Linked DNA regions of Mus musculus. The protein of the gene in region 2 interacts with the protein of the main gene of each other region in a biochemical or structural test. Links are inferred from orthologs where the notes say so. Each region holds a gene or a part of one and is shown on either strand. Other genes may lie near its edges.

Region 1 (5,856 bases), about 10 Mb from region 2:
CATTTTCCAGTTTGCAGCCACTACCTACACATGGGTCATCACCACCACAGTACTACCTTCATGGATTTCCTTAACGACTACCTATCTCCATAACAATTGCACTTCTGGCCTTCCTATTTTCCAGTCGGCTTACATGACAACCAAAGTGATCTTTCTAAAGTGCAGTAGGAGCCAGGCAAGGTGGTGGCACACGCCTTTAATACCAGGACTCCTCTAGAGTCCTGCAAAGGCAGGTGGATATCTGTACCCCAGCCCAGTCTGGCCAATATAGTGAGTTTCAGGCCAGCCAGGGCTACACAGCCAGACCCTGTCTCAGAGAACAAGAAACAAACCAGTGGCAGGGCAGAGAGTGGTGAGACGACATCTCTGGTAACGATGTGTGTCAATTCTTTTTTTTTGAGACAGGGTTTCTCTGGCTGTCCTGGATCTCACTCGGTAGACCAGGTTGCCCTCGAACTCAGAAATCCGCCTGCCTCTGCCTCCTGAGTGCTGGGATTAAAGGCATGTGCCACCACACCTGTCGTGTGTCAATCTTCTATGACTAGAATTTACCGTATTTCACCTACTTGACCTTAAAATTCCCGCACCAGAAATTTGACCTTTCACAGAGGTCAACTTTGGCTCTTGAAAATGAACCTCTTGGGTAGTGGTCTCCACATTTGACCCACCTCGTTTTTGTTTCAGTTTGTGTGTGTGTATCTTACTTGGTAGTCCTGACTGGCCTGGAACTCACTATGCAAAGAGCAGTCTAGGCTTAAACTCACAGAGGTCTACTCCACTCTGCCTCTGAAGTGCTGGGATCAAAGGCATTGGCCACCATGCCCAGTTCTCACCTGGGTATTTTTTTAGAGGCTTCAGTGAAACTGGATTCTGTCAGCATGTGGCTAGGGCTGAGAATCGCTGCTAAATAAGATGACCAGTAGGAGCCGGGCGGTGGTGGCGCACACCTTTAATCCCAGCACTTGGCAGAGGCAGGTGGATTTCTGAGTTTGAGGCCAGCCTGGTCTACAGAGTCAGTTCCAGGACAGCCGGGGCTACACAGAGAAACCCTGTCTCGAAAAACAAAACAAAACAAGACAAAAAAGCCTAGTAGGGATCCAACATTCATTTAACCGACCCACAACACCTATCTAGACATGTTAGCTTGAAAGGGAAGAATGAAAGGCAACTCGTTCATGAGTGGTGACCCTCGTGAGGATGAGGTAGGAGGGTTTGTGGTTTCAGGTCAGTCTGGATCAGGTAGCAGTACTCTGCCTACACGTAAAATAAAGAAATAGCAGAAAGGGATGTTAGCTAAATGCAGGCAAGTTTCAGGCAACATTGTGGAATGGGAAAGGAGTCATTCTTAAAAGACAGCTAAGTAAAGCCAACTTTATTTTTCGGGACAGGGTCTTAGTATGCAGCCACTGGTCTCAAACTCTCATTACGCTCTTTAGACATTTACTACTAATCTCCCGCCTCAGAGCCACCTCCTGATCTACACACTGGGGAGTGGAAGAAGGCGGGGGATGGGGGTGGCAGCGTACTCATAGATGAGCAAATCATTTTGCCTCCTTTTACTGTGGAAACCCATCTAGGTTCAGAGTGTGAATAACCTCGTTCGACTCACTTGTCTCTTTAAATTGAGGTTGCGCCTGACAGGACTCTAGCGCTCAGTGTTGGGCTGAAACCCAGATGCAGTTCTCGGATCCCAAGATCTTCCAGAACTCTCGATATACAACCAAGGGGGCGTGGCGATCTTGACCCAGCGTCTAGGGGAGGGGGCGTGGTAATCTCGTTCCCGCCTCCGGAGAGTGAGAAACTCTTAGTGTCGCGGTGGCAGACGTCATTTCCGCGCGCCACCATTACGCCAGTATAAGACGTAGACCGCAGGCCGTGGTAGTGTCATCCGTTCCTAAAGTTCCGTCCTCCTTGTCCCTTGCGAGGCATGGAGAGTGACTTTTACCTGCGTTACTACGTGGGCCACAAAGGCAAGTTCGGTCATGAGTTCCTGGAGTTTGAATTCCGACCTGACGGTAAGAGCGGCCTCCCGGCTGCGGGCAGTGGGACCGGCCCCGGGGAGGGCGGAGAGAAGGCGGGCTGCGGAATGTGGCGAAGCGAAGCAAGGGACGCCGACCACCGTGCTGTTGGGTCGTGAAAGAGGCATTCTTTTGTCGGCTTCATTGGTTCTTTCTCTTCATCCGCTGGCGATTCTCCTTCGTAGCTTTTTAAAAAGCCAGGTTGCTTACATTCAACAAAGATTTAATGTCCATCTGAGAATGGGCTGTTTGTTTTCCAGTCTGGGGACAGAGCAACAAAAATAAATTTTCCCCTCTCGTGGAACATGTGTTTCAGAGCCGGAAGAAACCACAGCGATCTCTTGTAGTGTGGAGTGATCAAAAAGTAAGGTCGCTTTTAAAGAGCAGTCTGAGGAGTGTGAATTTGAATTAAGCCGTAATTGAAAAGGGATCAATTTTTGAAGTACAGGAAGAAAAGCATCTACAGGAGTAGCAAGTGTCATAGGACCTCAAAGAGCCAGACATATCCAGGTGGTCACTGGGGTGACTGAGAGACAGTAGTAGGGGGTGATGTTAGTCAAGAGCCTCGCTATACAGGTGTTTGTAGTGCTTGCTTGCATACAGCTTCCTTAGTTTTCAAAGTCCTTTCCCAACCCAGTTGAACATCAGCATGTTCTTCTCTGTGCAGCTAAGATAGCATTAAAATTCCTGTTTACAGCTGAGAACGTGTTCTTTTGCTACATCATGGCAGCCTTTTCCCGGGACTCTAGTTTACTGTCAGGTCCTTCTTCTGTTGTTCAGTAGTTTCAAGTGAAGTACCAAAAACACTACTATCACAGCTGGGAAATGGGTTGAAACATTCGATATAATTTAGGCAAAGCTCATATTCTTTGGAGGGTAATGGTGCTTTGTTCATGTTTTCTAATACGTTGCATTCTTTTTTTTTTTTCTTTTTTCTTCCGAAGGTAAATTGCGATACGCCAACAACAGCAATTACAAAAATGACGTCATGATCAGGAAAGAGGTACAGACCTTTCCTTCACTACGACTTAGCCTTTGGTTTCCCATTGCTTATGTTCTCTCTGGTAATGAAAGATGAAGTGTAGGAAGCGAGCACTTATTTCTAAGCAGCTAGATTATTTCTCTGATTCACTCCCCCCCCCCCCCCAGTGCTGAATCAAAAGCTAGTAAGTGTTTGAAATCTGTGTGTCTTGGTTTGTACCCTCGGTGTGCCCCATACTGACCATGTGACCTCAAAACAAGTTCTCTGGCTGAACTTGGTCTCTGTGTTTTCATCTGTAAAACAAAGGATAAGAAAACCTACCTGTGACTCCCAAATGTTATCATAGAATTAAATATATTAGTCCCTAGTACATAGACTATGAAGACAGCATTGACTTTGCTTCTGAAGAGGAAACGGATCAGGGGAAAGTCTCAACCTCGAATTACGCTCTTTAGAGCTAAACCATAGACATTTACTACTACTCTCCCACCTCAGAGCCCCCTCCTGATCCACACACTGGGGAGTGGAAGAAGGCGGGGGATGGGGGTGGCAGCGTACTCATAGATGAGCAAATCATTTTGCCTCCTTTTACTGTGGAAACCCATCTAGGTTCAGAGTGTGAATAACCTCGTTCAAACAATATGTTGTTTAATCCTGATTATAAAAAGCCCATGTGACAAAGTATTCTGCCATACTTTCAATCAGGAAAATCATGGCCTAGATATTAAATCTGAGGATAGTTACTCTTGCTTGTAAGAGATAATGATAGGCATTTGGGCATATCTGAATCTCAGTAAAGGTCATGTGTTCCATTCTGCTGGGATTTCTACTATATCATTAAGGATATGACAGTATGTCTTCATACAATTTAGCAGTTAATTTTATGCCGAATCAGCATCATATCTTTTTCTCTTTGTTTGGTTTGGGTTGTTTGTTTGCATGACCTAGTGCTCCTCAGAAGCAGTTGGTAGAGTGCTTGTCTTCATGAGGCCCTGGGCTTCATCCTTAGCATCACAGAAACTGATCATGGTAGCCATGTTTATATGTCAGCACTGGGGAGGTGAAAGCAAGAAGCTCAGAAGTTTAAGATCACCAAGGCCAGGCTGCGAGGCATGAAACCTTGTCTGTAAGCAGCAGGGTGTATCAGTTGTCTGTTACCACTATAACAATATATCTGACAGAGGCTATTGCCGGATTATTGTCAGGAATGATACAGACCTGCAATTCCATGACTTTGTAGTTGAAGGCATGGGGATTAGAAATTCAAGTTGGACTCAGTAATGGTGGTGGTGATGGTATAAGACTTTTATCACTCGGGAGGCAGAATGAGACGAATCTCTGAGTTTGACGACAGCCTGATATACAGAGCAAGTTCCAGGTCTGTACAGAGAAACTCTGCCTGAAAAAGCCTTTTTAAAAGAAATAATTAGTTCATAGCAAGTTTGAAGCCAGTGAGGCTCAGTGAAATTCTCAAAAATAAAGAAGAGATTATTTAGCTCATCACTCCAGAGGTTCAAAATCCAAACACCGCTGCAGTAGTGAGAATGGGTGTGTGGCCACGCAGTGACCTCTCTCACCAGGAGAGAAACACACAGACATTGGAGGCCCACAATTCCTCTGCTGATATGCTGCAATGATCTAAGAACCCACCATTAATTCCCACCTCTTCAAGGTCTATACCATTTCCCATAGTACCACCCTGAGGACCAAACCTTTAGTCACATAAATGGAGTTGGGAAGGCCACACTGAAATCATGTCCAAGCCATAGAGTAAAGGTGTATCTCTGTCCATTTGCACTGCTATATTAAAATGCCTGAGACTGGGTACAAAGAATAGATTCACCTCTCAGTGAATTCCAAGGCCCTGTCAGGTTGGTTGTGTGGTGAGGACCCCATCTGTTCTATATGGTGTCTTATTGCTGTAGCCTCCCAAAACAAACTTTGTTCTTCACATGACAAAGGGGCGAAAGGGGACCAGATAATTCCCTTGCCTCCTCTGCCCTTGAGCCCTGATCTTTACTAAAGGCTGTGCCTCTCACTCTTCTCACTATTACTTTCTGAGTTGGATGTTGTTGGGGTGCGGTGGTTTGAAGGAGAATGGCCCCTTTAGGCTCATACATTTTAAACTTGATTGCAGGCTTATGTGCATAAAAGTGTGATGGAAGAGTTAAAGAGAATTATTGATGACAGTGAAATCACCAAAGAAGATGATGCTCTGTGGCCCCCTCCTGATCGCGTGGGCCGGCAGGTGAGTGCTTTATTGACTCTACTTTGTACTTCTTACAAAGAGGAGGAGGACTGCTGCTCTATGGGAGGAGGGGTCCCTACAGAACTAGGAATACCCTGTTCTAGGGAATCATTAATTCCATGTTGGTGTTGGGGATGGAACTCAGGTCCTCTAGATGGGCAATCAGTGTTCTTAACTGAGCCAACTTCCCAGTCCTTTATTACCATTTTGATAACTAAAAAAGTACAAGATAATTCCACCTTGTGTGCTACTTACTCTTGTATTCCAGACTTCTGTAGTCTGTGTTTCTCCTGTCTTGTATAGCCCCATGTTTCTATCCTAATGCTAGGGGTGTGGAGGCGGGGGAGGCCTAATTGTGGTGGCGTACACATCTAATCCCAGCACTAGAGAAGCAGAGGTAGGCGGGTCTCTGTGGATTCTAGGCCAACCTGGGTCTGCTTAGCAATTGTAGGCCAATCAAAGTTATATAGTGAGACCCATCTCAAAAAAGCAAAACAACAACAACAACAAAAAAAAAACCAAAACTTTTTTTTTTTTAAAGGAAAAGATTTATAAATCTGACTTCATTAAAGTTAAAACTTAGCTAGGAAGCCGGGCGTGGTGGCGCA
Region 2 (5,916 bases):
AGACCACGCTTGGCCTTAAGAATCACCGGGAACTTCTCGGTGATGCGCCAGGCTCCTGCTCAGGGGCTGGGAAGGAGCGGGACCGTATCGAAGCACAGCAAGTCAGGAAAGTGACATGAGCTGAAACTGGGCTGTGCACCTCGTGGGGGTGGCATCTTTATGACTGATGAGTTTGAACTTTAAACATGGAGGAGAGCCACTGGTTGGAAAGGAAAAGATTAGAGCCTCATTTTCAGACCGTCAATCTGACTGTTGGGCTGATAGAGGGTACAGGCGGGGCAAGCAGGAGGCTGTCGAGAAATCTCTGCTAAAGTCTGGGAAAAGAGACAATAACAGCTGGGATTAGGGAGGTGGTTACAGAAACTGGAAATAATAGATCTGCAATATTATTTGCTGGGAGCAGGATGCTACGGACTTAGTGACTGGCTGAGGGCAAGTGAACAGGCCAATGTGTTAATAGTCTACCAGATAATTTAGTTGTTTAATGTCTGCCTCACTTTTGCCACAGTGAGAATAGGGACCGTGTCTCGCCTGCATCTTTTGTCTCCGTAGGATGACGCGTATGACAGACACCCCATTGATGCCTACGGGATGGATGGGGCGCTCCCTTTCTGGGAAGCTGGAGAGTAACTCACCTTTGGGCATCAGGTTGGGAGATGGCATTGACAATGGCCTCCACGCTGCTGTCAAAGAGCTCTGAGTCCTGCAGAGCGGCGAAGGCAGCCTGAATGAGCGCCTCACAGTCCTGCAGGGGTACCTCCAGCTGCACCCAACTGGAGAAGCACTTGAGCACCTTCTGACGCACACAGCTAGGAGAGCTGGGCTGTTGTAGCAGTTGCTCCAGCAATGGGAAGACAGTCCCACACTCCACAGCCAGGCTGGTCCGCACCAGACCTTTGCGGTACTGGGGCAAGCGGCTGGTCTGAAACTCCTCGGGCAGTACTGTCAGCAACTCTAGCAGGGCCAGGCAACGGCCCTGGCTATCCACCGGCGAGTCCTCAGCCTGGAAGAGCCGAACCATATCTGCCACAGCACATGGCCAAGCGTCAGGCATCATGCTGAGAGCTAGTGAGGCCAGCGCCACGCACAGCCGAGTCAGCACAATTTTGGAGCCGCTGGCAAAGCGGGTGATCTGGGTGAAGAGCTGTGCCTTTAAGCTTTCATACTGGTCGGTGGGGATGTCGCTCCAGTAGCGAGAGATCTTGATGTGCAGGGCACTGGCCCCAAAGTACTGGATCTCGGGCACCTTGTCTGGCTGTAGTAGCTGCCAGCTGAAGTGCCAGGCCTGTGGAGAGACCTGGGCCTGCATCAGCCACTTCTGAGCCAGGTTCTTGTTGTCAATATTGGGGTCGTAGTAGAGCTGGTGCAGCGCCTGCAGGACAGCACAGGACTGAGCAGGTGCTGGCTACTCTGGATCCTGCCAGAGCCCAGAACAGAGGGTGGGACTCGGTCCTGCAAGATGCTGCCTCTCCCTGACTTGGGGGAAGACGGAGTGAGTAGGAAGGGAGAGAGCTCAGGATTCCGCTGACCTTTTGAAAGCCTGAATCTTGCCCATGCTCTATCATATTCTCTTCTTATAGTACAAACGGGTTCTGAGAGGGACTCTCCACAGGAAAGCAGAAAAGGCCGGGGCTGGGCTCGTCCCACAGGGAGGTATGTAAGGGCAAGGCCTAGGAGGAGGGAATGACTCCACGGGGAATAAATGTAAGCTCCAGACAAGTACAGAACAGCCTGAAGGAGCCTGGCTCTTTAGATACAGCTCCTCCCATTGATTCCAACAAGCAAACTCCATCTGCTCCCCCAGGATCATCCCGAGGTCACTCCAGAGGCTGGCACTAAAGCCAGTATGAAATCTGAGAAGGACTGCTTCAGGCCAGGTAGCTCTGGAACGGATACACTGGAAGGGAGGGTGGGAACATACATCTTCAGAGAGTACAAGTAAGTCTCCAATCAGATGATGCAGAGAGGCCTTGGCCAGAAGCAGCCTAAGCAAGTGCCTACCCGGGAGCTGTCAGCAGCAGAATCCCCAAGGCCCAACTCCATTGGGACTTCATGCAGAGAGAAAACAATGGCTCATCTCCCTGGCAGCACATGAAACCAACCATGTGCCACCATGCCAACACTGTCCAGCCCCAAGGGCCAGCCAGGTTCCCTAAATGGACTCCATCCAACTAGGATTAACCAAATCTGTACCCTCCCGCCCCCTGAAAGCCAGTTATGGCTACTGTCCCTTGTACAGCCAGCCACTCAAGGAAGCAAAAGGAGACAAGAGACCGAACAAGAAGATATGTGTTCTCAACATTTGTTAGGTAAACAAGCCTCAAGAACAACAAATGTTTTTCTATGACTGCCCCTTGCTATCCAGTAGGATACCCCTACCTCTCGGATCATCCTTGGGAGTATTGGGGGTGGGGCGGGTGCATTCCTGCATTCCAGGCTGCTGGGAGAAGAATAGAATAGAAAAAGATGGCCTGGGCAATGGAGAAGTCTGGAAGGAGGCCATGGCAGAAAGCCATGTGGGCAGGTAAGGAAGGAAGGGCCCTGTAAAGTTGCCAGCAGAGCCAAGCCCCTTGGACCCAGCACAAAACAAGAGAGCCAGGCACACTCCTGCCTGTCCAGGACCGGTTTGACTTCCATCCAATAAGGAAAAGACCCTTTCTGAAGATAAATGAACATATAACTCAGACGGGTTTAGCTCCAGATATCTTTGTGAGCCTTTGACTGAAAAAAAGTGAGTCGGGTCCAGGATCATTCAGCATCCGTGTGGTTTCTAACGTGGGGGTGGGGGTGGCTGAGTGGCAGGTCTTGTGAGTTTCTGGTTCCCTCCAGAACTCCGCCTGCTTTTCTCCTGGATCTGGGCAGGAGCCGATTTGGTTATAAGTCTAAACCCTTCAGCACCCTACAGGGAACAACCTAAGATCCTAGAGTATCTATCCGAAAGGGGACCTGTGTCTACAGAAAGCCCAAAATAGCCCATTAGGCACTGCAACACTGCTGTCCAAGCCGGCTGCCCAAGAGAGATGGTAAATACCAGGTGCTCTGGGGGCATCATCCCAGCGGGCACTGAGCCCGCGTCTGAGCTTTGGCATTAGTGTCAGTCCCCAGAACTTCTGCTCTGTCACTGGAGTGCCCACCCCAAGGCCCTCATACCTTCTCCACGTTCTCCACAGTGAAGTCCAAGGCTGGTGCTGCTCCAGCCCCTGCAGCCCCCAGCTGCTCCTCCCGCCGCTCCATCTTTGCTCCCTGCCTGGCAGGGAGGTGGACCCTGATCTCTTTCTTGCCCCAGCCCTTTGGCTGTCGGCCCCCTGCTAGACCCCGGCTTGAGTACCCGGGAGGTGGTGGGATGAGGGGATGCCCAGGGCGGGCATGGCTGCCGAGGCCTGCCCACCTCGTTTGGAGGGGGAGTGGGTTGCAGAGGTCAAAAGATGTGCTCTTCGGAAAGGGACCCGCTAAGGCGGCTCCCAGAAGGGAGGCGTCCGTGAGGTACTCCCAGACAAGGGTCCTAGTGGGAGGTCACAGCTCTGTCCCTTGAATCAAAAGTCATAGGGGAGGGAGGCCTATAGGGGAAACAGAGGCCCTGGCCCGTGAGGGGTCACAGAATCAACGGCCTGTACCCATAACACCCCAGTCTGGACGAGCTTCTAGATGCTATGAGGTCAGGGGGGCTGGGAGATCACCCGGGAGAGAGCCCTTCGCGAGATACGGAGACGTCCAAGGAAGCACGGGATTGCAGTTTCGTGAGTCTGGGGCAGAGTCGGTAGAGTTGGGGGACTGAGATAGGTCCCCTCCGTTCGCCTGGCCCGCGATCTGTTCGCCTCCCGGCGTTGGCCCCGCTACGGTCGCTGCCTCCGCCCCAGTGACTGACAGACAGGCCGGCCCGGCCGGGACGGGGCGGGGACCTCAGCAAGACTCGGGCTGTCCCGAGCGCCTGTCGCCAGTACCACCAACTTAGGCCCCCACCCACGCTTGTCCTGGCCCGGCACGGCCAAGCACATCGAGACACGGCACGGCGGAACTACGCGGAAACTCATTCCGGGTCTTTGGCCCTGTCCTCGTGCTAGCTCGCGCGCCCCCGAACAGGCGACGGAACGGCACACCGCCAGGGGCCCCTGCCTGAAGCAAGGACCCGCCTCTATGCACCCTGGGAAATGTAGTTTTCGTCGGACCGGAAGGTGGCTCCTGAGGAGGGAGGCTTGGAGCACGTGGGTTGGGGGTCCTATGGAACCCTATCCTATTCTCGGCTTAGGGCAGAGGACCATCTTGCTCAGTCACATTGCCTAGGAGTGCAACTCTTGCGAAGACGTGATTCATGGGGCCTTTGGGTGGAGTTGGAAGCCAAGAATGGAGGGGAGAGGGTCACGTTTGGTCGGCGCTCAGGCACAGGGAACTGGTTGTGTTGGTGACCATCAGCACCCGCTAAAGAAGAGGAAAGATAGGAGTTACTTGGTGCCCCACAATTAAAAAAAAAAAAAAAAGCACTGTGGATCTGCTCGGGAGCAACCGGGAAATCATATTATTCTGCGCGCGCGCGTGTATGTGTGTGTGAAACGAGGAGGAGAAGGGAAATCGTTAAGGTTTTCATTATGTTTCAAGTAAGAATAGCTCATGGCTTTACCTTAGGTTTTGTTCTCTCTCTATTCTGCTGTGGCGGGTTGGTTTGTTTTGAGATGGAGTCTCTTGCCTTGGGGTGGGGAGTGTACCTCTTTAATCCCAGCACTCCCGGGATTACAGGAGTGTGCCACCAAGATGGGTGTCTGAAGTGCTGTGCCTCCCGCGCACCCTGTCAACTGAACCACATCCTCCACCTTCTTTGTTTTCAAGCGGGGATCTCACTATGTAGCCCGGGCTTGAGTGGGTATTTTTATTCATTGTCTTCAGCTAAAATGGGGAAATTGAGGTTGGAGGAAGGCAAGCCCTGCTCCCAGCAGGCACTTCCTCTCCATGCTCAACTTTTTCTTTCCTTGACTCCTGTCAGCAGGAAAGGAAATGATTTCAAACAGAAGGATCTTTCTTTTTCTTTTCTTTTCTTTTTTTCCAAGACAGGGTTTCTCTGTGAGGCCCTGGCTATCTTGAAACTCTGTAGACCAGGCTGGCTTCCAGCTCACCGAAACCCACTTGTGTCTGCTTCCAAAGTGCTAGAATTAAAGTTATGTACCACCATGCCCAGCCTAAAACTTTTTTTTTTTAGATAAATTATATTAAGCTCAATTTGGGCTTACTATATGGCTTCTCTCTCCTTATTGACTAAACTCTTCCCAACACAGCCTTCTAGCAGTAGCAAAGTTGGGTAAGAATAAGAAGGGCTGGCATACCGTCAGGAGGAGCAGCAATTTTGTAAACCTGGGGAGGAAACAGATTAAGACAAGAGCTGGAGTCACTATACAGGGCTTTACATGTGTCCCACCACACCAGGTGACACTTGTGCTCTAAGGGAGGAAGCTGGCTCTGGAAGTAGCTGCTGAGGCCAGAGAAGGTCGAAGAAACTTGACAAGATCTTGACGAATCCTCAAAGCCTGGGAAGGAGAAGGACTCACTTGGCTGCTAGAGGAAGTCCATCCATCACAATGAGTCAGCAAATCGTTGTCCAAAAGGAAAAAAAGAAAATGTTTTAAGCGTTTTAAAGAAGCCAATTGGATCCCTGTGAGTTTGAGGCCAGCCTGGTCTACAGAGTGAAGTCCAGGACAGCCAGGGCTACACAGAGAAACCCTGTCTCGGAAAAAAAAAAAAAAAAAAAAAGCACCAGCTGCTCTTCCAGAGACCTGGGTTCAATTCCCAGCACTCACAAGGTGGTTCACAACCGTTTTAGGGTTTCTATTGGTGTAACAAAACACCATGACCAAATTTGGCAGGAAAGGGTTTATTCATCTTACAATCCCATATTATAGTCCATCTCTGGAGAAGCCAGGACAGGAACTC

The links.
Region 1: the proteins of Ipo13 (region 2) and Magoh form a complex in vitro, tested with the Homo sapiens proteins (2 studies listed by BioGRID and IntAct). The link is inferred for Mus musculus from reciprocal best matches to the Homo sapiens genes IPO13 and MAGOH.

Annotation. Positions count from the first base shown.
Region 1 is NC_000070.6:107,877,931-107,883,786, forward strand, and holds the start of Magoh (protein mago nashi homolog), read left to right. Parts: upstream 1-1,824; 5' UTR 1,825-1,927; coding exon 1,928-2,015; intron 2,016-2,962; coding exon 2,963-3,021; intron 3,022-5,137; coding exon 5,138-5,248; intron 5,249-5,856. UniProt on the Homo sapiens protein: Required for pre-mRNA splicing as component of the spliceosome. Plays a redundant role with MAGOHB as core component of the exon junction complex (EJC) and in the nonsense-mediated decay (NMD) pathway.
Region 2 is NC_000070.6:117,911,138-117,917,053, forward strand, and holds the start of Ipo13 (importin-13), read right to left. Parts: upstream 3,863-5,916; 5' UTR 3,235-3,862; coding exon 3,151-3,234; intron 1,373-3,150; coding exon 636-1,372; intron 1-635. UniProt on the Homo sapiens protein: Functions in nuclear protein import as nuclear transport receptor. Serves as receptor for nuclear localization signals (NLS) in cargo substrates.